Linked DNA regions of Oryzias latipes. The protein of the gene in region 1 binds, or shares a complex with, the protein of each later gene. Links are inferred from orthologs where the notes say so. Each region holds a gene or a part of one and is shown in the gene's direction. Other genes may lie near its edges. The genes, in order: vegfc, kdr and flt4.

Region 1 (8,699 bases):
AGCTGATTTAGAAATTTTGCATTTATAAAATATTAAAGTTAAATCACCGATATGAACAACATTATTAAGTCTTATACCATGGTCTGGGTGAATACTCGATTTTGAATGGCTGTTGGGTGTGGATTAAAAGTGATAATCCACAGAAATATTGCTCACCTAAAAACATGTAAATTTAAATTTCCGGTCACACAGCTTACATATTCTTTATCACTGTGCTGGCTTCTTTAAAACAAACTTCTGCTTCATTATCTGGACAAAAACAAGCAATAAGAGGTAAACTTTCTCTCTGAACTGATGCTTTTCTAACTGATTGTTACGATCAATATATATTTTGCTTTCTTTAGCTGCCACAGTCGAGGTCAGTGCGGGCTCAGCTGGCTCAGCAGCGCGTTATGTTGCTGTGTCAACCGCACCACACCATTTATCCAATAGTCTGCTTTTTATGAAAAATGCAATCCAAACCGAAAAAGCGGGAACCATCTCCAGAATACTGAATGCACTTCATCTCCCAGCAACCCCAGCGTGCACTTCCTGGATGCCACACTCCTGACTCCCATTGACTCGATCACTCTTAGCATACGTAACCACTGCACTGAGCCCCACTCAGTGAGAAGTATTTGTGTGGTTCTGCCTTCATTACAGAGTGTTGTATGTGGATCTAATTTTCTGTTTCTGACTCAGTTTACCTACCGCCTGCCCCGACTCTCGCTCGGATCCTGACTAACCTGTCTCTTCTCTGATGCTTTCATGCCCGTTATTGACACCTTCCTGCCTGACCCTGATTTAGATTTGTGGACTTTCAGCTGAGCTAATAAACCTGCTGCACTTGGAACCAGTCTGTTATTGTGACATAACCATTCAGGCTTCCACATCGTGTGTTTATTTCTAATAATGCATACTTCGTTGGCCATTATCTATTATGTGACACATAAACATTATTCTACCAAAGCAGTTGATGCACTTAAGCAGGCTATGGAAAGTTCAAAAAAAGATCTACAAAAAGGGTAGGCAATAGCCCAGAAAATAAAGATTATACGTGAAAAAAGAAAACACAGGACCTGCATTCAACCTGATCTAGATCATGGCTGAAAAACAGAATGAGTGAATATTATTACAGAGCTGTTGCAGTTCAAAACCTTGAAATGAGTCCATGTTTAGTTAATATCTCCCTTTTCGCAATTTCATTCATGTCTTCAAATCTACGGCTATTGTCATGGTGACAAGTAATATCTAAACACCGGTAACTTGGACACCTTGACCTCTGAAGGCCATTCCAAAACTTCAAAGTGAGATAGAGATCTCTTTGATTCTAATGAGGCAAACTGCAGAAAAACACATAGAACATCAAACTACTTTCAGTCTGATTAAACCCATTTTAGAAAAACATAAAATACAAAGAATGATTGAGAAAACAAATGAAAAGTTCCTTTTAAATATTTGTAAACATCTGCTTTTATTCCTCTTAGAAATGTGGATTCGTGTTTGGATCATGTAAGTCCTTGGAAAGTTGACCGCACTGATGGATTTCACATACCGCAAATGTCTGCAAAGCATCCTTTTTCTCTTCTTTCGAGCCCACACATCCGTTTTCTCTAAACTCAAAGAGGCTTTCAGACCCCTGCGTGGTTAAAGATTTCCATTTCATTGCCGTGTGCATGAGTCAGAACTTTACTTTATCTTGAGGTCTGTTCAACAACTGATGATTTTTTTTTTTCAACATGTCAAGTCACTCCAGCTGAGCCTGCTCACCCTGTTGAGTGGAATGAGTAAGAATGTAAACCAAGAGTTCTTCTCTGAGTTGGACCTTTGTCATGAAAGCACAACTAGTGGCCTTTGGAATTTGAAATGTAATTGTATCCCATAGGTCTGTGATGATTCAAAACTGGCTTTATGAGTGGGCTTTCATTTGTTGAGGCTGAGCAGATGCTTTCATCAAACACCTTTAGGAAGCCCCTTGTGAAGCTATTGTTGGGAAAGTCCACATGTTGAACTCCTGCAATGACATTGCTGTTACGGGTGGCCGGCAGTGAAACCCAGGAGCAGGAAGGACTCAAACAGATCCAGGGAACTCTGGACACGAAACATGTAAGGTATGTGAAAAAACACAACTGTGTCTGATAATAGAAGAACCTAAGATGTCAGATCCAGGGAAGTCCAAGATTTAATAAGAAAAGATGCCATGAAAAGACGACAAAAATACAACAACCCATAAAGCTGCATTCACATCGCCCTCGGCAACACACTTTCAAGTGAACACGTCTAATAAAAAGTCTTTCGAGCGAAAAGTCTGCAGAAGGAAGGTGAAATTTGGAAAATCTTGAATGTGAAAGTTTAAAATCCTCTTTACTGGTTCCTATTCCATTGATTTAAACAAGCTCTCACTAAATGTTTGGATGCCCCAAACCTGTCCTCCTTTGAGACACCCGTTTAATGTTTGTCTTGGTTTTCTTATTGCACCTCCTCTGTACTCTGAGTGTGTAAAAAAACACTTGTGAGGAATCAAGCAGTTATTATCTTTACATACATAGATTATGAAGGTGCTTGATCTGGAAAGACGTCAGTAAACATTCATCAGCAAAGGACATTCAAGCCAGTAATGGTATATTGTTTCAAGATGGTTAATAAAGACAACGTTTCTTACCAAAATATTTCTCACGAGCATCACATGAATGCATGTGCACTTGTTTAAGATTCCTGTATCTTCACATTCAAAAAAATGACAAGCAATGAGAAATGTCAGTCTCATTTTTTTGCCGGTTGAAATAGAAGATGATCTCAATCTAATTTTAAGTTCATAGTTGGCCGTATTCGTAGTAATAGATATTTTGTGTTTGTTGGTTGTGGTTTTAATTTAAAGAAGAGTTTTGTGGTATTCTTTACTAACTGGAGAGTCTTTGTCTGCAGACGTCAGAGGCTCCATGAAACCTGCAAACATGTGCTTGCCTAGGTTTTGCATACAGCTCAAACTCTGTCAAACAAAACCAATTCAAGGCAACATTGCAACCTTTTCAGTCACTCTCTGATAAACATCACATTTAACATTTCCACCAGATTCAGCTTATGTTTCAGGACACATGATGAGCAAAGTCAGCCATCAACACTTTGGCCAAAGATCCCTGAAATGAATCTGTTATGAGACCTTCACTGTCAAATTTGGGCCAGCTTGGCATCCCTTAAATGCCTTCATACAGCTCCAAGATGGCACATGGCTGTGGCCAACTTTACAGATAATTCAATTTGGATTACTGAATATGATATCTCTCATTGTCAACACCAGCTTCCATGTCTTTGGGCTCCACTGAAATCTATCCCAATTGAAGGAATGATTTGGCCCACATAAAGAAAATAAGAAGGCACCAGAAAACTGTTTCCAAAAGTCCATTTGAAATCAGCAAATTACTTTTAGGACTGGAAAAAATCAGCAATGCTAGTAAGACACACCACTTTATTCTTAAACCATCCTAATATCAATCATTATTTTGATCAAATAAATACAATTTTTTTATTGTATTTATTATTGTCAATCAATCATCTGCACGGTGGAACAGTGGTTGGCGTTCTTGCCTCACAGCAAGAAGGCCCCCGGTTCAAGTCCTGGCTGGGGGACTTGAAGCAGAACATCAACAGGGGACCTTTCTGTGTGAAGTTTGCATGTTCTCCCCGTGCATGTGTGGGTTCTCTCTGGGGTTGTCCATAGGTGTGAGTGTGAAAGTGACTGGGTGTGTGATACGTGACCCTGTGACAGACTGGCGACCTGTCCAGGGTGTCCCCTGCCTTCACCCACAAGTGGCTGGGATAGGCTCCGGCAGCCCCGTGACCCCAAAAGGGACAAAACGCAAGAAGGTGAATGAATTAATTTTCACAATTTATTACAAAGCATCAGCCCATTAATATAAATATATATATATAAAACTATCACCAACCAATCAATCAATCACATATATAGAAAGTTTTATATCTTTTTTGTTCTTTTTATGTTGCTGTTGTTTTTTTTGGCCATGCCTATATCCGGCCTTGAATTGTGATGTTGAATTAAAGAAAAATGTCAAAACTGGGGTGTTGCGCAGCATTTATGGTGAGGTCACCAGGAAACTATCCTCTGGCTGCCTCCAACATTCCTCCCAGCCTCCCCTCTTCACACATGCGGGTGCTCTGAGGCTTTTATTGTGAAGGCGCATGCGGGCGGTTTTCCTGGAATCGTGCGCTCTTCATGAACGCCCGCAGTCTCCGCTGCGTCCATCCACACCAGGGTCGGTGCGCGCGCTGCAGGCTGGAGTCTTGCACCCTGATAGAGAGACAAAGAAGAGAGCTAGAGAGAGAGAGAGAGGGGAGGCAGGACGGCTCAGGCACCGTGGAGGGTTTTTTAAAATCCCCCGTCTTTATGGTTGTCGGATCATAAACACTCCCGGACTTCATATAAACATGCACCTACTGGGAATATCTCTTTTACTGGCATATCTGCTTTATTCCAACCTCGCCAGCGACTATTATGAAGACTACGAGCAGGAGCAGATGGACGAGCCGGTGAGTCCGCGGTGCGCTCGGCTTCTTTGCAGCCCGCAGCTGCAGCTGCTTGTTCTCATGAAACAGACAGACGCACCCCTTGAAGATGTGAGGCAGAACTATTACATGTTAAGTTCTGAGGGGTAAGGAGATTTGTGTTATCATTACTTTTTTTTTTTCAAACTACACATGGTAAAATAATTCTCCTCACTCACTGATCTGCAGGATCAGTTAATGATCATTTGACCTTCATTGTTCACAAGTTTGATCAAGTTTGATGCATAGATTTGGATTTTCTTTTGTAATGCGCTGTGTTGATCTGTCATATTCTCTTTGACATTTTCCTTAAATCAAAGGACTCCCAAACAGAAACAGCCAGTGTGTGACTGGGCTACTTTGTTGTAATTCATAATGGTTCCAAAAATGAGTTCAAGGAGATCAGTCAGTGCAATATTGCAACAAGTTCCTAATGAAAGTCTTGTGCTTTTATAGCACGGTTTGTTTTATGGCAAAAATGAAGACAAATCATTGAATAAAGCTTTCTGGCATTATGAGGTTTAGAGGACAATACCGTACATGTGAGATAAAGGCAGGGTCATTTTGTGGAGAACAAGTCAATGTGGCAACATTTGTGTAACGGATGAGATGAGACTCTAGAAAGTGCTTAAGTTGACCTGCTTTTGTTGTGACAGAACACTTAAAATGTTTTATAAAAACATCACAAATTTGGTTTAAACAAAAAAGAAATATATTTTATTTAGTCTTACTTAACATCTAAAAGTTATTGTCAAGACACGTCTACGCAGACCTCCACTTTGTTCTCGTCTTCTTTTTCTCCCTGCAGACTGTCTTCTGTCTTTAGATTCCAAAGTTCTTCTATTCTAATCATGCCATGCACTACAAGTTGTCACTTTTTCCTCACAAATATTATACAGATAATGATCTAATTGGCATTTATTCTTTACTAAATATTTAACTTCGACTTAAGATTTACATAAATGGGCCAATATCATGCTAAATCAAAATTTTGAGCTTTTAAGTGTATTATAATGTTCATTCCTCACAGAAAGAAACCCCAAAGCGGTATTTTGATCCATTCACGCATCTCTGAGCATTTCTCTTAAAACCTGCCTCTCTGAGCACCAGCCCCTCCCAATCCATGAAAACGAGCGGGTTCTCACATTCATACATATAAAAGTAAAAACTAGCCCCTTTCAGGAAGAGTCTGCACTGCCAGCACCGCCCCCAGGCTAACGCGAACACCCACTTTCTCCATGGAGCTAGCTGTGTTTGGGAAAAGCGCTATCCTTTTACATGCACAATGTGCACATCCGTCTGTACAAAAGTTTGGATGTTTTTGTTTTTTGTGGGTGAGACCCAAACACGCTCCAGGTTGACGTCATTACTGTAAATGAACGGCAACCACACAGAGCGAAAACCGGGGAATCAGAGATTGAGGCGTCTTAGATAGATATAGATAGATATGCCTTTATTGTCACTGTCCACTTGGACAATTAAATCACCATTACAGTGCAAAAACAAAATCTAACAAAGTATAATAAAAAAAAATCAATATGTACAATAGCTACAAAGTGTACAACGGAAGTGTGCAAATATGCAAAATGTGGAATGTGCAAATATAAAAATGTCCATAAGTGTGTGAACTTCCAGCTCGGGAAAATGACCATATTTAATAAAAAAAATCATTGTTTTGAGTGCTAAAGGTATTTTTTGCCATAAATACAGATATTGTGTACTATAAAGTAGTTAGGTTTAAATTTGGTAACAAACACTTAACCCCTCATTTATTTGACACAGAATGTATTGTATTGTTGAGATGAAAGTAATGTTACGTTTCTAAAAAGTTGTCTAAAAAGAGTAAAATGAAATCAGATATTGAGGTATTTGATATATTTCAGTTCATATTTTCATCAAGTTTTTTTTAACAGAGGGTCATAAAACTGCTTTTGATAAGCTGGAGTTTGGCCTTTGGCGTCAAGTGATGTTACAAACCAGGCAAAAAAACTACTAACGAATCAGGAAACACTTAAGCATTTTTACCATTTAAAAACAAAACTGGTTCCTCTGCTGCATTTTTTACTGACCTCTTACTCACACACAGGTTTTATTTCTTTTTTGTGTTTTGGATGAGTAAAATCTAAACCGGTGCCAGGAAGAGTCTCAGGAGAAGATGAAGGAGAAGATTGAGTTTTCCAGAATATGTGCTGTTCTTGTGAGGGATCATCTTCAGAGTCTGCACACACTCAAGTCCTTCAAAACCTTTAGGAGCTGCTGCTTGTCTGTTTTAACAAACGCTGGACGTCTGCGCCACTAAACAAGCCTTTCACAAAGGTTGGTGAAGAGACTGGATCGACAAAGACAGGGATAAAAGGGGGAACGTTACTTGGTTGCGAGTTTTGGGTGGGCCTTCGGGGGGTTCGGGATTAAGAAGGGGTATTTTCAAATTAGCTAGAGAAAAGAGCGAATAGAGACAGGTGTCACAGGGGTCAAGTGTGTGTGTGAGAGCCTTCCACAGAGGCAGGGTGAGGGAGGGGGGCAGATGAGCGCTAAACAGAGGCATTTGATCACAGAAGAGTATTAATTGGGTTGACCGGTTTCTCTCCTAACACTCTTCAAAGTTTTACTGGAAAACCTCAGCGGCTCATCTCTGCTGTTAAACCTCACGTAACATCAGGTGTCTGGGGATTAAGCATCTCGTGCACTAAACAGATTTTTATAGCAGCAGATTTGAGATAATGCTGCTGGGCATGCATGTGGACTAACTCACAGACCAAAAGAAAAGTCAGTGAGCCTAATTTTTCAAAAAGAGGTTCTCTAATGGTTTAAAGCTTTTTTTCGTTTTAAAGTTAGAAGTGGAAGCTCATACTGCGTAAATGTATTGGACTGCCACTTCTCTTTTAAATATTTTCCTCCAAGGAACCAGAAATACTACGGAACCCCTAAAGGGTCATTGAAGAAAACAAACAATTGAAGTAAAAAAAACTAACCGGTGCCAGTAAGTAACAGGTGCGCACAAGATCCCAGTTAGTATCTGGTCATTTGTGGCCTTTTGCACACTGAGGGATTTTCCCAAGTTGAGCTGATTGAGCTCATTTGAGTGTCACTTTGCTTTCGGACTTGTCTACAAAGAGATTGCAGCTTTGCTTCCTCCCCGTCACAATTATATCATCTCTGAAAGTCATCTTAAATGAGTTTTAAAGTCATGTGGTTTCTTTCAGCGCTGGGGTTAGAGCAGTTAAAATCAGGTTTTATTCAGGAAAATGTAAGATCATCCGGTAAACTCCATAGATATTGGTGGATGCATGCCAAGTGCGTTCAAAATGGGCTGCATGCAAGGATCAAGAACATGACCCACAGAGTGTTGAACTCTGGAGAGCCAGATGTCTGCATCATCGCAGTTATTTTGCAAAGTGTCCAAATTATATTTGGCATTTGGATTCTTACGACAAACTGAAGCCATTCGGTATTTGTATTAATAGCTAGTAACTGGTGAGCACCAGTTATTATTATTTTTTTTTTACTTCAATAGTTTGTTTTTTTTCTTCAAGGGGCTCCGTAAAATACAATTAGAGGCTTTTTCTTTAAACTCCGCTACTATAAGATTCATCTTCAGTCTATATTTATTGCTGAATGAGGAGATATCCATATCTTTTTAAGCCACTCTATCGCAAACCACTAGACATAGACATCATTTTGATGTACATTTGAGTCAAAGAGCATGTTTGCACAACCACAGAAATCTAATAACTGGAACGATCAGATGTGACACATTTACACTTTTCCACCTTGGAAAAAAATATCCAAGTCATTCATACAAAAGTTCATTATCAGATTTCTTTTAAAGTTTGTGTGCATGAAGAGAAGTAGGATATCTGCATTATCTCCTTTAACATCTGAAGTCGTATTGTTGCGATTAGCCATGCATCTGCTTTAAGAAGTCTCCTAACAAAATGTGCAGCTTTGGTTATGTGCTTCTTTCTCTCAGTCATACTCCATAAAAAAACAAAACAATGGTCAGCTTATTCGGACATCCGACCTTGGTCTTTTTGTTCAACTTCAGAGAACAATTTCCTGTGATTGTTTATTCTTTTTGTACATATTGAGATGTTAAAAAGCAAAATAAATCAAATAAATGAATATACAAGCAGAGATAAAATCAGATGACTGAAAGAAAT
Region 2 (8,163 bases), on another chromosome or scaffold:
TGTAGTTCCTAGAGGAGGGAACGGAAATCTTTTTCTAGGTACTTTTTCTTAGTTCCGAGGTAAATGGATCTTTCCAACAGCAGGTTGTCTCTGACGCTCCTCCCTCGCTGCCCGCCCGCGCCTGTCTGCATCCTCTGCAGCATGCGGACACGCACATGTGCGCCTCTCTCGCAGCCGATTGTCTGAGCCTGTGGCTGTCCAGGATTTACAAACTTCGCCTAGAGTTAAAAAAAAAAAAAGAAAAAAAACCCAACAGCAACAGGACCTTTTTTTTTTTGTTCTTTCAGGGTTATCATCCCTTAACTCTCTGTGGATCATTTTCTGAACTTTTGATGAGGACTTTGGTGTCGCCTCTTGTCCGATGATGGCGCGGGCAGTTTCAGTTTACTCACTTATAATAACGCTGGACATCATTTATATTGCAGGTAAGAAAAAAATAAGAAAACGAATGATTGTTTTCTTTTGAAAGACCAGATTATGTTTTGTTGTAGATTTTCTCTCATTTTCATGTAGTGGTTTTGTTCATCTGCATCCAGCTTTTGTAACTTTTGAAAGAAAAGGTGCACAACTCCTTCCTTGTTTATTTATTTACTGCATTTGTAGCTATTTCTGTCTTTTTTAGTTGATTTCTTCTCTTGCTTTTTGTTTTTTTTATTGTGAAATGTTTGACATGTTAGTTATTTTAATTCAATTCATTTCAAGTAACTCAGATTTGAACAAAAATAACAGTTTGGCCTATTGGTTGTATCATTATTCATGAATAGAGCAAGCACAGAGTTTGAAATTGTGATGTTTGGGGTCATTTTAGACAAACAGTCCCTGGCCTCATTGGTAATTTCACCCAGGTCTTTTTTTTCTCCATACAATGCATGTTTTAAGGCCTCACAGGGAGGAGGTGGCGGGCAGCCTGTATCCTCAGAAACAGGAACTCCACCTAGGCCACACTGTGCTGAACTATTGAGCCTGACCCAACCCATCTCCCCCCATTTCCTGTTTTGACACAACTTTGCCATTTTTTGCAGGAATGGAAAAGTGACCCTATCCAAATCCAGTTCCAAAACAATCTCATTTTGAGATGTTTTCCTTTTGAAATCTGTTTCTCTTTCAAAACATATTTAATCCCAAGATCATTTGGAAAGGATTTTCTAAGCGTCATGAAGCATGGTTATGTGGGATACTCCCATCCCTGCTGACTGTGACTTGTTCTTGCAGCCATCGACCTGCGGTTCATGTCTGATCCACCAACTCTTAACATAAATGGCACACATCGGATGAACAAATCAGACAACCTGGAACTGATTTGCAGGTATGAGTGGATACATCCCGCTGCCGTTCTTTTCTTCAGCCTCCAGAACATCCAACTCCGAACTTTCTTTGCAGAGGTCGGCAGTATGTGAGGTGGTTGACCCCCCCAACAAGCACTCACTTCTCCATCAGGGACTGCAGCGGGTCAGGATTTTTCTGCTCAGCGCTGACCATTACCAATGCAACTGTCAATGAAACAGGAGAGTACCACTGCTCGTACCCAGACCTGAAGGCTGAAGATGGCAAGAAAGCAGTTTACGTCTTTGTCCACGGTAAAACTCCTATAGTTGCCTTCACCATGACGGCACTCCCACTCCCTCAGTGAACGTAAATGTCTGACGCTTGGGTTTTATTTCAGATCACAGGGTGCCGTTTGTTCCATCTGAGAAGGAATACGAGGTGGTATTCATCCGTGAAGGGGAGCGGGTAGTCATACCATGCAGAGGCTCACTAGAAAACCTTAATGTTACTCTAAACATTGTAAGGAAAAGCTATTTGTCTTTTCTCATTGTGAAATTACATTGTTCACTAGGATAGAGACATTTCTGTGGATCCTAGGCTGCAGAACAACCTAGAATGTTCCAATTCATGAAGGTTTTGTTGTGTCCACAGACACAGAGGAGAGATTCAGCCTTATAAAACACTTACTAGAGGGTCTGTGTAAAGCCATGACAACTAGTTCTGAAATTTAACCAGTGAAACATTTTGTAAGAAAGTCAAAGTTTTATCAGAGAAATTTTCAATTAAAATTAAACTCTGATCATCTTTTCATCTATTTTCAAAGTGCTCCCTTGGCCTGAATTTAGGATTTTGCCGTTTTTAGTCATAATCAGAAAACCTTTGTCATTTTGTAGGACAACAAAAATGTCAAACAATATTGAAGCTATCCAGCCATACAATTTGGAGTCCGATTCCAGCTCAGATGAGGAAAACAGACGTTCGTGGATCCGTTTGTCTGCAAATGGATGCATCAGAATGGAGCAGAGCAGCGAGCTTGTGGCCTGCCAGCTGTAGCACCTACTGTACATCACTGCTACAGGCATTTTTAAATGACAAATTTTGGTCTGCATCTGATTCAAAATTTAAATATTAGAAATGTAATTTTAAGTTTAATTTTCTTTATATATGTCATCCCTCATCAGAAAAAAGCTACAAGAACATGTGAAAAACACCAAAAACCTGATTTTCAATGGACCGGGTCTTAAAAGTCCAAATTCCTCTAGTGATTCCTTAAGTTCAGGAATTAATTAGAATTTTTATTTTTGTCTTTTTCCAACAATGTCCCAGTGTTTGTTCAGGAGGCCTTCTGCTTGCTTACATACTGTACATAGTGTCTAACAGACATTGGGGCAGTAATAGCTGCTGTTAGCAGCTTTTTGTTAACATTTACAGGACAACAAGAGGTCTGTCACGCTACTTTACTCTGTAAAAACCCATACATGCCTGATCATATTTTCCTTTTCTTTTCTTTTTTGTCAAAACCTATATATTCCTGTATCTGTCAGAAGTATCCGACCAAAGAGCTTCATCCTGATGGCAAAGACTTGGTGTGGGATGCCAAGATGGGCTTCATTGTGCCCACTCATCTTATCAGCTATGCTGGTGTGGTGTCCTGCCAGACCCGGATTGGAAATGAGACTTTCAAGTCTCCTCTGTACATTGTGGCTGTCGTGGGTGAGACTAAATCTTAAATCAGAGCTGAGCTGAATTTTCTATTGAGTGAACAAACCCAGAAAAATGTTTTTTTTCTGAAAGTGCTGTGTGTAAAAGTGGATTGCATCTGAAGTCTCAGGAGAACAATAGGCTGTCTGCCGACTGCCTTCCCTCCCTTTTCCGCAGGATACAAGATTCATGACCTCACCCTGACCCCTGTGCAGCAGAGGCTGGCTGTAGGGGAGCAGCTGGAGCTCATCTGCACTGCCAACACCGAGCTCAACGTAGGCATTGAATTCAACTGGACCCACTCGGGAGGGGCCCTGGTGAGTCTCACGCCTCACCCTCCCCTAATCCTCCACCCCCCACACCAGACACATTTTTGGTGAAAACGCTTCAGTGACGTTCATACCAGAACTCCGGGTTCTCACTTCCTTGTCTTTTTTAAAATATTTGTGACATTTTGCTTCCAAGCATCTGTCAGTTTATTGTGTGCCTCTAGGTCAAGGGTCCAACCTGAACCTCTCAAAGAGCCACTTCCATCAGTTTCCCACAGAAATGAAGGCACAGGGAGCCGCAACACTAGGGGTGTTAGAAAAAAATCGGCGATATATCGTGATAGTTCATTTGGCAATGCTTGTATTGATTAAAATACTATCAGGATATTCATTCAATTATTCATTTAATTATTTATGAGCGTTATGTTTCTTTGAACTGTTGTCCATTTTCCACAATCTTGAATAGACTTTTCTGTCTGTCAAACACCCAGAGTTAAGATGAGTGAGATGATGGAAACAAATTCACTTTGATGCAGACTCCATTCTATTTATTTATTTCTTTAAATCCAGTAAACCCAATAAATTATATTAATTTTATGGATGACAACTATTTTTTATTAGGAAGCAGCTGTTGCGGATCTGGAATCATCAGCAGTGAGTCTGAGCCCCGCCTCCGCCTCTCTACCTGTTCACATCCTCTGCAGCTCCAAGTTGTTTTCCCCCGCATGCAGCTCATGTAGTGTGTAGCTTTCCACAGAGTCCGTTGTTAGACCGTGGAACAAGTGAACAAAACAATGAAGCTCAGAGACGTGAGTCTTTCTGCCCTTTTTCAGCAGTTTTCACACTACTTCTCCCATGATGCATTGGCTTAAAGGGACAGTGTCCCAGCGCACAATGAGTTGTCCTTGTGAAACGTCTTGAAACCACAGCAAACAAACAAACAGTTTCTAAATTTTTCTAATTTAACCTTTATTTCATCTCTTAGAAAAAAAACAGCCACAACTTCCTGCTTTTTCTGCCACATTTATCACAAAAATCCACGTGAGATTGCGGGGGGGGGGGGGGGGGGCGGCTGTCGATCAATACAGACCATGAATTCCTGCTTTTTTTTTTTTTTTTGGATCGTGGTGTGCTGCGGGATTTTTGTCAAGGTTAAAGTGTGCCGTGGCTCAAAAAAGGTTGAAAAACACTGATCTACACAGACAGCGCAACATGGTCAAAGGTCAAGAGGCAGCTGAGATGTTTTAAATGCAAACATGGAGAGATGTTCCACATCAAAAAATATACAGTGTTACCTTGTTTATCACAGGGTTAGGTTCTAAAAATAACCAGCGATAGGTGAACTACAGATGTTTTAAGGATGTAAAAATCTTCACTACATACTTTATCCATGTTTCTTAGACAGAAATGAACACTTTTACAGTTTTCTCTTTTGTTTAAATTCTCAATGTTCAAACCTTCATGGAAAAAATGTCCAGTTTTATAGAATGAAAACAAATTACTGATCACAATGAATATTTATGTAAATACGGAAAGCTGAACTATTTCAGCTGTCCTTATGGCACGGAGGAGATTGATCGACAAGGTCAACAGGATGCAGAACACAGTGCACTGTTAAATAAACAAAGCATGCAAAGTTGCACTGAAAAAACATCTCAAAAATAGTGAGACCACAAAAAGTAAACCACATATAGTGAGGGAACACTGTACATTAGTTCAAGAAATTCACATTTAAACAAAGTTATTTCTTGTGTCCTGCTAACTCAGAACTCCGGGAAACTCCACACGATTCCCCACAAGAAGAAGCTGTGGAACTCTCTGGAGCTTTCCAATACTCTTATTGTGGAGAACGTGACAACGGAACACTCTGGAGAATTCATCTGCACGGCATCCAGCGGGCAGATGGATGAAAGTGCCTCTGCATACGTCAAAGTCTACGGTAGGTGCACTGGACAATTAAAATGGATTAACAAAAATGCTTTTCCATTCACACAATGTAACTGCATCAATTGACTCAGAAATAAATGAAATGATCAAGAAAATGGTTTTGACATTTCATTTTCAAAAAGTTCTCTAGTAAATGTGTACCAAAATTCAACTAGAAATATCTAAGTTGATAATTAAAATTGGATTAACAGAAATGCTTTTTCTTTTTCACAATGTAACTGGATCAATCGACTCAAAAATAAAATGAAAAATCAATCCTCCAAAATGTTTCTCTACTTGAACAGCTCCCAGTCTTTGACGTGATTAAAGCGATAATGCAAAGAGGGGATTGCACTCCCCCGGAGTGCACACCGTAACAAAACCCCCTTCCCTGCCCACAAACACGAAGCTATGAGTCCGGCTGCACTGATCAGAGTCATACTTCGCTCGCCTGGAGCAGCCGGCCGGCCGGCCGGCCGTCCTGTTTGCGCTACAAAGCCTTCCCTGGAGCAGCACACCGAGTGAACACTGACATCATTGCCCTGCCTCCCTCATGGAACAGCTGATTGGAAAGGATTTATGCAACAGTTTTTGCATGGTGGATGTGAAAATGAAAATGCAATCCCCTCTTTGCATTAATGCTTTAATTATGTCACAGAATGGGGGTGTTAAAGTGGAAAAGCATTTTGGAGGATTGATTTTTTATTTTACTTTTGAATCAATTGATGCAGTTACATTGTGAAAAGGAAAAAGCATTTTTTTAATCCATTTTAATCATCTACTTAGATACAGTATTTCTAATTGAATTTTGGTACACATTTACTAGAGAACTTTTTGAAAATGAAATGTCAAAAAACATTTTCTTTGTCATTTTAATAAAGTGACAGACTGAGCGGTGAAGAAGAAGAAAAAAACTGTTTAGCAGATTTATTTTTCATCTAATTTTTGAGTCAATTACGTAGCTTTATTGTGCAAATGAAAAAACATTCAGGTATTAACTTCTATTTTGAATGATGAGACAGAAATGCTTCCATAGAGCAGGGGTGACCTGGTCTATAATACAGCTCATGCTGGGGCACCTGACGGTTTTCCTTACTACACACAAAAGCTTGGACATAGTTTAGTGTCAATAACAAAGCATCTCATCTTGGCTGGATGAATTTATCAGTTGCTGAAGTCTTATTTGCACAGTTTTTCCTTCCATGAACTTCCATAAGATCAACATTTTCAAACAATTCAAATAAATATGAATAATTATGTTGTTATTTTCCTGCAGAAAAGCCTTTCATTGAAATGAAGGAACCCTGGCCAAAGGTCTGGGAAGTAACGGTGGGAGCTCAAGCAAGTTACCCTGTCAGGTACTCTGCGTACCCTGAACCCAGCTTTAAATGGTATGTTCATGTAGCAGTGGCAGTTTGTCATCAGTTGTGTGTCATAAACAGTTCTTTTATTACACATGAAAAAGCTGCACATTGCACATTTTTGTACCATTATTCTGTTTAGGTTAAAAGATGGCCTAGTACTTAAGGAGAGTTACAGAATCAAACAGAAGAGCGACGCTCTGGTCTTCCGTGGCGGAGTCATGGAGGCAGATGAAGGAAACTACACATTGATCCTAAGCAATAAGGTCACAAAAGAGGAGCAGAGATCCTCTTTCCAGCTGCTGGTCAATTGTATGAAAGATGACTTCTCTTCTGTTTTGTTCCTGAGCTTCTGAAAATGTCATAGTGATGATTTCTTTTTTCCTTCAGTGCCTCCTCGTATTATTGAGAAAGAAGTTCCAGTGGACATGTATTCATATGGTGGGAGCCCTGATCTGACATGTACCGCCCGTGGATTTCCCATTCCTGAGAGCATTCAGTGGCAGTGGATGCCTAAGGAAGACTGCAGGGAAACCTTTGTGTAAGTCGTTTTTGTGTGTGTGTGTGAAAACCAGTAAACACTGGATTTCTTCCTTTTTTGTTTCTGTGCCGTGATCACATGCCTCGTCATCATTTATTGTCATGAGGTTGGCAAAAACAATAGAGGTTGTTGACAAAAACAAGAAAAAAGACAATGAGGGGCACTCTGACCCTGATGGAGATCAGCGGATGTGATTCGGTCTCTTCAAAATGTTCGATTTTAGAAGACATCAGACTTTCTTGCACAAATCTTTGTTCTGTCTGGGCCAGTTGTTTGAGATCGGAGCTCCAAAGTCTGCAGCCTGCACATTTCTGCAGTGACACAACTGCCTGCTCAGTGACTCCTGCAAGGGTTGAATGGGTGTTGATAGAGAGGAGGTTTGTTCTTTCGTGCGTAAGTGGCCACTTTGACCAGAGAAGACCATGCAGCAGCTTCCTTATCTTCTGCCTGCACATCCCAGAGTTTCCTTCGTCCTGATCCACATTTCCTGTTGTTCCTGTAGCTCTTTCAAAATGAAAAAAAAAGAAAATAAAACGCCCTAGTGTACAATTTCGAAATAGAATGACTTGGTTTCAAGAAATACACTTTAAATATAGTGAACTTTCTCTTATCGGCAAAAATGATCGAAAAAAATGAGGGAAAAATTCCCATCATATTTAAAAACAAGACGACATCCCAATAAAATGTTTGCACACTGCAAAAACTGAATTGTAATAAATTAAAAAGACCATTGTTCTAATGTCTTCTTTTCTGTCTTGCGTAAAAATAATCTCATCACGAGTGTTTTTCAATAGCAAAATAATTTTATTGACTAGACCTTTTTTTTTTTTAATTACAATTCTTGGTAAGATCATTTTTCTTACCCCACTTAACTGGCAGATTTTTTTTAATGCTTATTCAAATAATTTTTTTTTCATATTTTAAGATTATATTACTTACTTCTAGAGGGGTTGTTTTTGTAGTTACCAGGTGTTATATTAAATTTACTAAGTTTATTTTTATAGCAGTTACGAAAAAATAAGTGGCAAGATTAAGAGTTGGTTAATGAACTAAGCTGAGGCTAGCCCAGTTTTTTGGAATGAATCATGAAAATGGTATT
Region 3 (8,163 bases), on another chromosome or scaffold:
TTTTTATAACCCCACCCCCACCTCAACATTGAGAGAGGGTTTGGTAAATGTCACACACATCCACGTCGGCACAACACACCACAGATTTTCTCCTGTGTGTTCTCCGCCTGCAGCCCTGGAGGCGCCGCGCTACAAACGCAGCCTCACCAACCAGACGGTGAACGTGACCGAGTCCCTGAGAATGGAGTGCGACGTGGAGGGCAGACCTCTGCCATGGCTGTCCTGGTTCAAAGATAATCAGCCTCTCCACCAAATGTCAGGTACTCAAGTTTACCACACATTCACAACAACCAGGAGAGATTCATTAGACAGCATCAACACTTCTACTTCCTGTTTGAAACTTTTCTGAAGACAAAAATAACTAGGGCTCAGAGGAACTTTAGGTTTCATGAAGAGGAAACATCAGTCCAATGCAAACCAATGGCTGACGTCACACAACCCAGTGTATCTGCTCATACAATCATGAAAAAAAGATCATTTTGTGGTAATCTTTACTTATTGATTACTTTAACGCGCAAACCCACCCCCATTTCCCATCATGCCTTTGTTTACAGTCTTTCTCGCTAGCTTACAGCCCCTCAAACCACCAACTCAAACCACCCAACACTACTGTTGCAACAAAAACGGTGAGCAATGTCAGAGCCATTCAGCTGTTTAGTTTAGAGCCAGTTGCCAGCTTAGATGAAGAAAATAAAGACGTATATGGATCTATTTATCTGCAAGTGGATTGGAACACTGAGCTTGTGGCTTGCTGTAGTAGCTTCTACGTCACACCTGTCTGCTCTTGGTTTACTCCAATTTGAAAAAAGAAATACTCAGAAATGCATTTTTAAGCTTAATTCTGTTCTTCTCTGTTCTCCATCATAAAGAAATCCCTCAAGAATTTGTAAAAACACCAAAAATACATTTTCATTGGAGTGAGTCTTTACATAGTAAAGTATATTATGATAGCTGTTCAAGACCAACTTGACTTTTCAGTGTATTTATGCAAAAAGAATAAATAAAAAACAGCTGTGAAAGAACTGAAACCAACATAAAACTGCTGTCCAACATCTTCTACTCATCACCACTCAGTTTTTCTATTCTTTAAATGTTAGGAGAACAGTGGTGTAGTGGTTAGCACTCTTCCCTCATGACTCTGGATCAAGTCCTGGCTGGTTCCTTTCCATGTGGGGCGACAGTGGCTCAGGTGGTTGAGCAGGTCGTCCAATGATCGAAGGGTTGGCGGTTCGATCCCCGCTCCCACCAGCCAAAATGTCGTTGTGTCCTTGGGCAAGACACTTCACCCTCCTTGCCTCCAGTGTGGCTCCACTGGTGTGTGAATGCGCATGAATGATCCCGGTGATGGTCAGAGGGGCCGTAGGCGCAAAATGGCAGCCACGCCTCTGTCAGTCTGCCCCAGGGCAGCTGTGGCTACAACTGTAGCTTACCATCACCAAGTATGAATGAGGAGTGAATGAATAATGGACATAATGTAAGCGCTTTGGGTGTCTTGAAAAGCGCAGATAAATCCAATCCATTATTATTATTATTATTATGTGGAGTTTGCATACCAAAAACCAGTTTAGCTCGTGCTGGTTTGCGGCGCCTTCCGTCCGTGAAACCCGGGTTCGACTCCAGGCTGCTCCCTGTTCCCTTCTCTACCTCTGCCGGTTCCAAGCCCGGTTAGAGAAGGTTGCGTCAGGAAGGGCATCCGGCGTAAAACATTGCCAAATTTACCATGCGACTTGTTCGCTGTGGCGACCCCTGATGGGAGAAGCCAAAAGTGGAAGAGTGATGTGGAGTTTGCATGTTGTCCTCACGCATGTGTGGATTTTCTTCAACTTCCTCCCACAGTCCAAGACATTCTTCATAGGTTTTTAAACTGCCCTTCAGTGTGTGAACATGAGGGTGTCTGGTTACGTGTCTCTGCGATGGACTTGAGAACCGTCCAGGGTGCACCCGGCCTTGTCTAATAGTAGATGGGATAGGCTCCAGCAGCCCCAAAAGAGTGGAAAGTATATAAATTAGGATTCACCACATATTTGATTTGCAGGGCTCCTTGGTATGAAAGTGGGATGCTGTGCCACAAAACCCTCAGAATTCCATTGGAAATACCACTGACTTTTATGGCATGAAAGCGGATGGAGGTTTCTTTGAAACTCAGCCTTATCCATCAGCATCTCGTGCTTCTCCCACAGGGATCCAGCTGCAGAATTCCAACCGCACGCTGAGCATCCAGCGAGTGAGGGAGGAGGACGCCGGTCTCTACACCTGCACCGCCTGCAACCAGCGAGGCTGTGTCCACTCCTCAGCCGCCGTCAGGGTCATCGGTGAGACAGGTTCACACATGCAGTCATCGAAGGAAAGTCAAAGGCCCTCAGGGATAAAATAAGAGTTGACCTTGAACGAGATTTCAACGTCAAAGAGAAGATTATTACTTGTTGTAATTAAAGCAACATTTTAAAATTGAAATCAATAAAATTTATTTTTAAAATTAATCACTAGGAAAATACAATTTAGAATATACTAAAGCATATCCGTGAGGACTCATTCTTTCAAGATTGTTTCATAGCAAAAACCAGTTTAATTTTTAATCTGCAAAACATCTTTAATCTGTCAATTTTGTCAAAAGGATTCAAAATTGCTCTTTTGTTGCTTTTTATTGTAAGAATGTCTCCTTTATGTCATAAAAGTTTTCCCTTTAAAGCACAAATTCTAATAACATCATTTTTACAAATCACAAAAAATTGGCTTCAGAGTCAACATGTAACTATCTTTTATGTGTTTTAATGCTCGTGGCTGTCTCCCTGTCTTATCCTTTTTGTGCGTTGAGGATCAAACGACAGGGCCAACGTGGAGATCGTGATTCTCATCGGGACCGGAGTCATCGCTGTATTCTTCTGGCTTCTGCTCATCCTCATCTTCTGCAATGTCAAACGGGTCAGAGAGCTTTCTGTTTGTGTCTCTGAGGCTGGAGTACCATCACCTATTTGAAATTGTACATAAGTAAATCATGACTGTGTAAAAAATAAAAAAAGACAGACAGGGGGACGTTACACCTGAATGTAAATCACACAACTTTCTTTTTTTAAATTTATTATCCCCGTTTAATTATCCAGCAAAAATATAAAAAATAAACAATGACAGTTGGACTAAAATGTTCAATGCAAACGGAAACCTTCAGCTTTTGCTGTATACTCCATTGAGACTTAAAAACTGGGTTTGTTTGAGCCGATGTTGCAGAGCAGCAAAGCCACTTTTTCTATCTCTGTTTTCCTCTATGGAAACAAAATGTTTAATATCATGTCAGTCCTTGAGTCGCCAAAAGTTTGCTCAGCCACTTCTGCTGTCTGCACTCCAGCCATTTTTCATTTTATTCGTCAAAAATTATTTTTTACATCAAAGATATTTTATTGTATTATCAATAAAAACAACTACTTTTTGAAAACAATCAATGTAATATTTGTGAACATCAACTTTCCTTTAAAATTAATTTCCAATAAAAGAAAACAGCTTTAAATCTCTTGGGCTGGAAACTTCATGGTTCAGATTTTGGTTTAAGTTAAAATCTTTATGTAAACCTTCATCATGGTGTATTAATCAGGATTTCCAGGCTGCAATACATTTAGCAAAAATGGTGAGAATTTGTAAAATGTGAAGGAAGATCAGGCCTTTTCGACCCATTTCCTGGATTGAAAATGAAGCTATCTGTCAGAAGATTGGGCTGCTCTTTAGAAATTGATAAGTGCTCTTTTATCCACTGACCTGTGCTTATGTGAGCTCATGCACCTCCTGTGTAATACCCACCATCCTTCAACTCATCCTGAACTCATATTGACTCTGCATCCTGTAACGGCAGGTTAACCCAGCGGACATAAAGACAGGCTATCTGTCTATTATAATGGACCCAGGGGAGGTGCCGCTGGACGAACAGTGTGAATACCTGCCCTATGACTCGTCACAGTGGGAGATCTCCAGAGACAGACTCCGGCTGGGTGAGCAATGGGGGAAAACTTGCATGGAAGTAGGAATGAAGGGATGGGTGTTAAAGGGAGGTGTGAGGGAGAGGAGGAACAGATTAGGGTAAATAAACAGATGAAATTCAATCATATTTCTGTTTTTTTTTTAATGGTATGAGTCTGGATCCTACAGCCTGCAGTGCCAAGTGCTGTCAAGTAGGGTGGTTATGTTAAAGATGAGCTCATTTCCAGAGAAGCATTTTCAGAATGCTCTGAGGAGGAGCATCTGTTTCACAGCTGAAACGTTTTAGAAAATGGTGTCATTCTTGATCCTCCTTCTTTCCCTGTCCCACTTGAGTGTGAAAGGTCTCTAATCTCAATCCTAAATGTGAAAAGCTCTCCTTTCCTCTCAATGCAGGAAAGGTTTTAGGTCACGGCGCCTTCGGAAAGGTCATTGAAGCCTCGTTCTGTGGTATCAGCAAGAGCAGCAGTCTGGATACAGTCGCAGTGAAGATGCTCAAAGGTGAGATTTACCTTCAAATCTACACCGTCTGCATGTTTTATAGGAAAAATACCTTAAAAGAAACAAATGCGCCTCAACACTAATTCCATCTAAATGTTTCTTCTGAGAGGCAAGTTTTTATTTACTGTGAGCATGAAGAAATGAAGCACAAACTAAGTTATTCTAGAGCAGTTTATGTTCACACGTTTTGTTTGAAAACATCTGAAAAATAAAGATTTATGTAAATCTGATCAGGCAAAGATTTTTTCTTCATATCAGTACGGAGTTGAGTTGATAATGCCACAAAAATGCCAAATGATCATTCTACATGAATTATGCAGGTTTTTCTCATTTTAGTAATAATATGTCCATGTATAAATGATAACAAACCTATCAAAATGAGTCAAGGACTGATGACTTTGTGATAAGTCAATGTGTAAATACAACAGGTAGCCCTGAAGTGCAAATCACATCAACAATATATCAATGATCCTGACAATTAAAAAGGCAAAACCATTAATAATAATAAAAAAACAACTTAACATTTAGAAAAATCAAAACAAAATTCTACATAAAATGACACAAAATAAATGGGAATGTTTCGAAAAAAACACATTTCCAGAAATCCAAATGAAATGTTGAAAAAAATGAAATAAAATAAGAAACTGGAAAAGGGACATGACTGATTGGATGACGCTTGTTCCCCCTTTCAACTGGAAATTGTTTGGAATTGTAACGTCTTCTGTCAGATTTCTTTAGGCTCATTGCTTCAGCCTCTGCTCAATCAACTCTTTACCACAGTTCAGCAAAAACATCCTCAGTCTTTCCCTCTTCTTCAAAACTCAAACATCATCATCCAATCACCAATGTCCCAAAGTATCTATCTTTTCCAGTTACTTATTTTATTTCATTTTTTTAACATCTGAAATTGACTTTCATCTTCTGAGAAGTTTTTTTTTACATTTTGGTTTCATTTACTTTTGATTTTTAAAATGTAATATTTTTTTCTTTTATTTGCTTTTCTTTTTTAATCGTCATTGTGATCTTTAATATGTTTTTGTGTTGAGTGATTTGTTGATAAGATTTGCACTTCAGGGCCACCGTACTTTAATGATTCTGAAGGCATCCATTTACAAATAAGGATTCAGACAGTTATTGTTTATGGCAACTTAACTATGCGTACAAGATATTTCAAAATAAAACAAGCTATGAACAGTTAAAGTCAGACAGAAGAAAAGTTTTCTTATTAAGTCTGCTCCTTCTACAAGGAGCAACAACAACAAATAAACTGTAATTCTTTCCAAAAACATATCCAAGTCACTAATTTACACTTTGAGCTAACCTAACTGCTTCCCATCAGTCTTTTGACCGTAAACATTTTTATTATTTAATTGTGTTTGTGCCTTGTCTGAATGTCATATTCAGTAAATTCCACATCCTAATACCATGAACTGAAATGTGCATCCATCTCCGAGTTATATACACATGAAAAAATGTTGTTTTAGTGATAATTCTAACCGCCCTTTTTTGTAATTGAAAAAAAATGGCTTTGTGTGGGTGGAACAAGCTTTTCTCCAGGAAATAGAATAAGGAAGAAGAAAACAAGAGCAAAAGAGTTACAGTTGAACAAATCCTTTTTTCTGTATAAAATTCCAATTCTTTGACTGATCTTCCTTTTAAAGCAGTTAATGTGAACTTTTCTTTATAACATTTTGTCTATTATAACTGCAAGAAATGCACTTTCTCTGACTTTTTTTATTTTGAAGCATAAAAAATATGTCCATCTTTTATTATGCTTAATTTAAACATGTTCTTAAAACTGCACAAACATATCAAGAGAAAAAATAAAATAAATATGAGTTTCTTTCTGTTGAGCACGGTAGAGGCAGGATCATAGTTTGGATAGACTTGTTTTTATTTTATTTTTTAATGGTGTAAAACCTACCAGAAGTACATACTGGTCTGCAGTGTATTTTTGTGTGTTAACTTTGTATAATTATCGTCCGACTCATAAGATATCCGTCACACATGGCACAGCCGTTCATCTCTGATCTATGTTTTGTTCTGAGTGAATTTGTATGATTGTGTGATCAAATTATGATAAACATTAAGAGGTTGCTTACCTTTTTTTTTTTCTAGCGGTGTGTGATGTTTTTCTTTGTGTATTTTTTTTTCTTGTACAGATGGAGCCACAGCCAGTGAACACAAAGCCTTAATGTCAGAGCTAAAGATTCTGATTCACATTGGGAACCATCTTAATGTGGTTAACCTGTTAGGAGCCTGCACCAAACCAAACGGTGAGTCCACTGACTTAAAACACCTCCAGCTTTGTCTTCGATTACACACATTTATGTCCTTTTGTTTTTGATAAAATCCCATTTCCAAACTGATGGACTTAACCAACAAGCAGGATTTTGGTCCAGAAAATCTTAATTTCAACAAGTTTGTTTTGAATTGAGAGATGATGAAAGCTTTTCTGTAATTTTAGAAACATGTCAATTGTCTGAAACAACGTCTTCGACAATGTGTCAATAGGATTTTCTTAAAACGTATCTTAAAAATGCTGCACTTAGGCTTTCTCAGCAGAGAGCAGGGCAGAAATGCTCTGAATGTCTGAAACATGAAAACTATAGAAAAACAGTCAGATGAAATAACATTGGAAACATGTGCATCACCAGGTCCGCTCATGGTGATAGTGGAATACTGCAAGTACGGGAATCTGTCCAACTTCCTGCGAGCAAAGCGAGAGTTCTTCCTTCCTTACAGGGTAACCAAACGCAGCTGACACTGAGACTTTGCTGTTATGTATTTAACAGCAAAAAAGTCAATTTTTCTCATTTGTGTTCTTGCATAACATTTTTTTTATGTATTTACATAATTCTGAGCCCATAAATAGCCCTGAAACAAGGAGTAGCTGGTTTGCTATCGATCTCGGAGATGATGCATCAAGACTGTTTCTTATTTAGGACCGGTCTCCCAAAACCCAGAGCCAGGTGAGGCGGCTGATCGAAGCGGGGCAAACGGACCAAAGAGCTCGTCAGCCGCTTCCTGTGCCCTCCTCCCCACCCGGCAGTCCTCAGAGCGCATCATCTAAGGCTCCTGATCAGAACTGTGCGGTTGAGAAAAGTGAGTCATGGTTACATCAGGAGTGGGAATCATTTTCATTCATAGTCCTGCTGTGGTTTTTTAAATTTTTTTAATGGCTATACTCTTTTTCTCTTACTCCCCTTACAGTGGAGGACTTGTGGAAAACCCCGCTGACAATAGAAGATTTAATTTGCTACAGCTTTCAGGTGGCACGTGGGATGGAGTTCCTGGCTTCCAGAAAGGTTATTTGTCGAAAATTATTAAATAAACTGAGAAATCTTAATGTGCGAGACACAGAGGAAGTTAGCTGGAGTCCCGACAATCAATCAGTGGGGAGTTTTCTTTAACTGTAGACTGTCTTCTCTATGTATCTATTAGTTTTTTGCATCTTTAAATTTGAAGAGGACAACAATCATCTTCATTTTTTTTTATACTTTTACACTATAATTTGTTCTTGTTTAGGTGAAAACTGTCCATTTTAGAATAAAAATCAAAGCTTCTGTTTCTATTTACAACTGCCCCAACAGTTTGATTCAAAGAATTTGACAGTTTCCGTTACCAGTTTTCAAATGAATCCTTTGCATGTCATCAGAGCTGGTGAACAATAAAGTTTCGATATTAATAAAGATACAA

Evidence for each region.
Region 2: the proteins of vegfc (region 1) and kdr are in contact, whole or in part, in a crystal structure (PDB 2X1W), measured with the Homo sapiens proteins. The link is inferred for Oryzias latipes from reciprocal best matches to the Homo sapiens genes VEGFC and KDR. Residues at the interface, in NP_005420.1 of Homo sapiens: Thr148, Asn149, Phe151, Lys153, Phe186, Ile188, Val190, Pro191, Leu192, Gln194, Pro196; in NP_002244.1 of Homo sapiens: Val135, Tyr137, Ile215, Val216, Val217, Val218, Asn253, Val254, Gly255, Ile256, Asp257, Phe258, Asn274, Arg275, Asp276, Phe288, Leu289, Ser310, Ser311, Gly312.
Region 3: the proteins of vegfc (region 1) and flt4 are in contact, whole or in part, in a crystal structure (PDB 4BSK), measured with the Homo sapiens proteins. The link is inferred for Oryzias latipes from reciprocal best matches to the Homo sapiens genes VEGFC and FLT4. Residues at the interface, in NP_005420.1 of Homo sapiens: Leu119, Asp123, Trp126, Gln130, Asn167, Arg210; in NP_891555.2 of Homo sapiens: Gln172, His199, Asp200, Ala201, Leu202, Tyr203.

Annotation. Positions count from the first base shown.
Region 1 is NC_019859.2:6,642,258-6,650,956, reverse strand, and holds the start of vegfc (vascular endothelial growth factor C precursor), read left to right. Parts: upstream 1-4,422; coding exon 4,423-4,524; intron 4,525-8,699. UniProt on the Homo sapiens protein: Growth factor active in angiogenesis, and endothelial cell growth, stimulating their proliferation and migration and also has effects on the permeability of blood vessels.
Region 2 is NC_019862.2:257,515-265,677, forward strand, and holds the start of kdr (vascular endothelial growth factor receptor 2), read left to right. Parts: upstream 1-136; 5' UTR 137-361; coding exon 362-425; intron 426-1,212; coding exon 1,213-1,306; intron 1,307-1,380; coding exon 1,381-1,577; intron 1,578-1,663; coding exon 1,664-1,785; intron 1,786-2,810; coding exon 2,811-2,979; intron 2,980-3,144; coding exon 3,145-3,284; intron 3,285-5,003; coding exon 5,004-5,175; intron 5,176-6,438; coding exon 6,439-6,553; intron 6,554-6,665; coding exon 6,666-6,835; intron 6,836-6,913; coding exon 6,914-7,064; intron 7,065-8,163. UniProt on the Homo sapiens protein: Tyrosine-protein kinase that acts as a cell-surface receptor for VEGFA, VEGFC and VEGFD. Plays an essential role in the regulation of angiogenesis, vascular development, vascular permeability, and embryonic hematopoiesis.
Region 3 is NC_019868.2:19,015,562-19,023,724, reverse strand, and holds part of flt4 (vascular endothelial growth factor receptor 3), read left to right. Parts: intron 1-113; coding exon 114-260; intron 261-2,180; coding exon 2,181-2,312; intron 2,313-2,815; coding exon 2,816-2,922; intron 2,923-3,841; coding exon 3,842-3,977; intron 3,978-4,359; coding exon 4,360-4,464; intron 4,465-6,626; coding exon 6,627-6,740; intron 6,741-7,121; coding exon 7,122-7,210; intron 7,211-7,409; coding exon 7,410-7,569; intron 7,570-7,677; coding exon 7,678-7,772; intron 7,773-8,163. UniProt on the Homo sapiens protein: Tyrosine-protein kinase that acts as a cell-surface receptor for VEGFC and VEGFD, and plays an essential role in adult lymphangiogenesis and in the development of the vascular network and the cardiovascular system during embryonic development.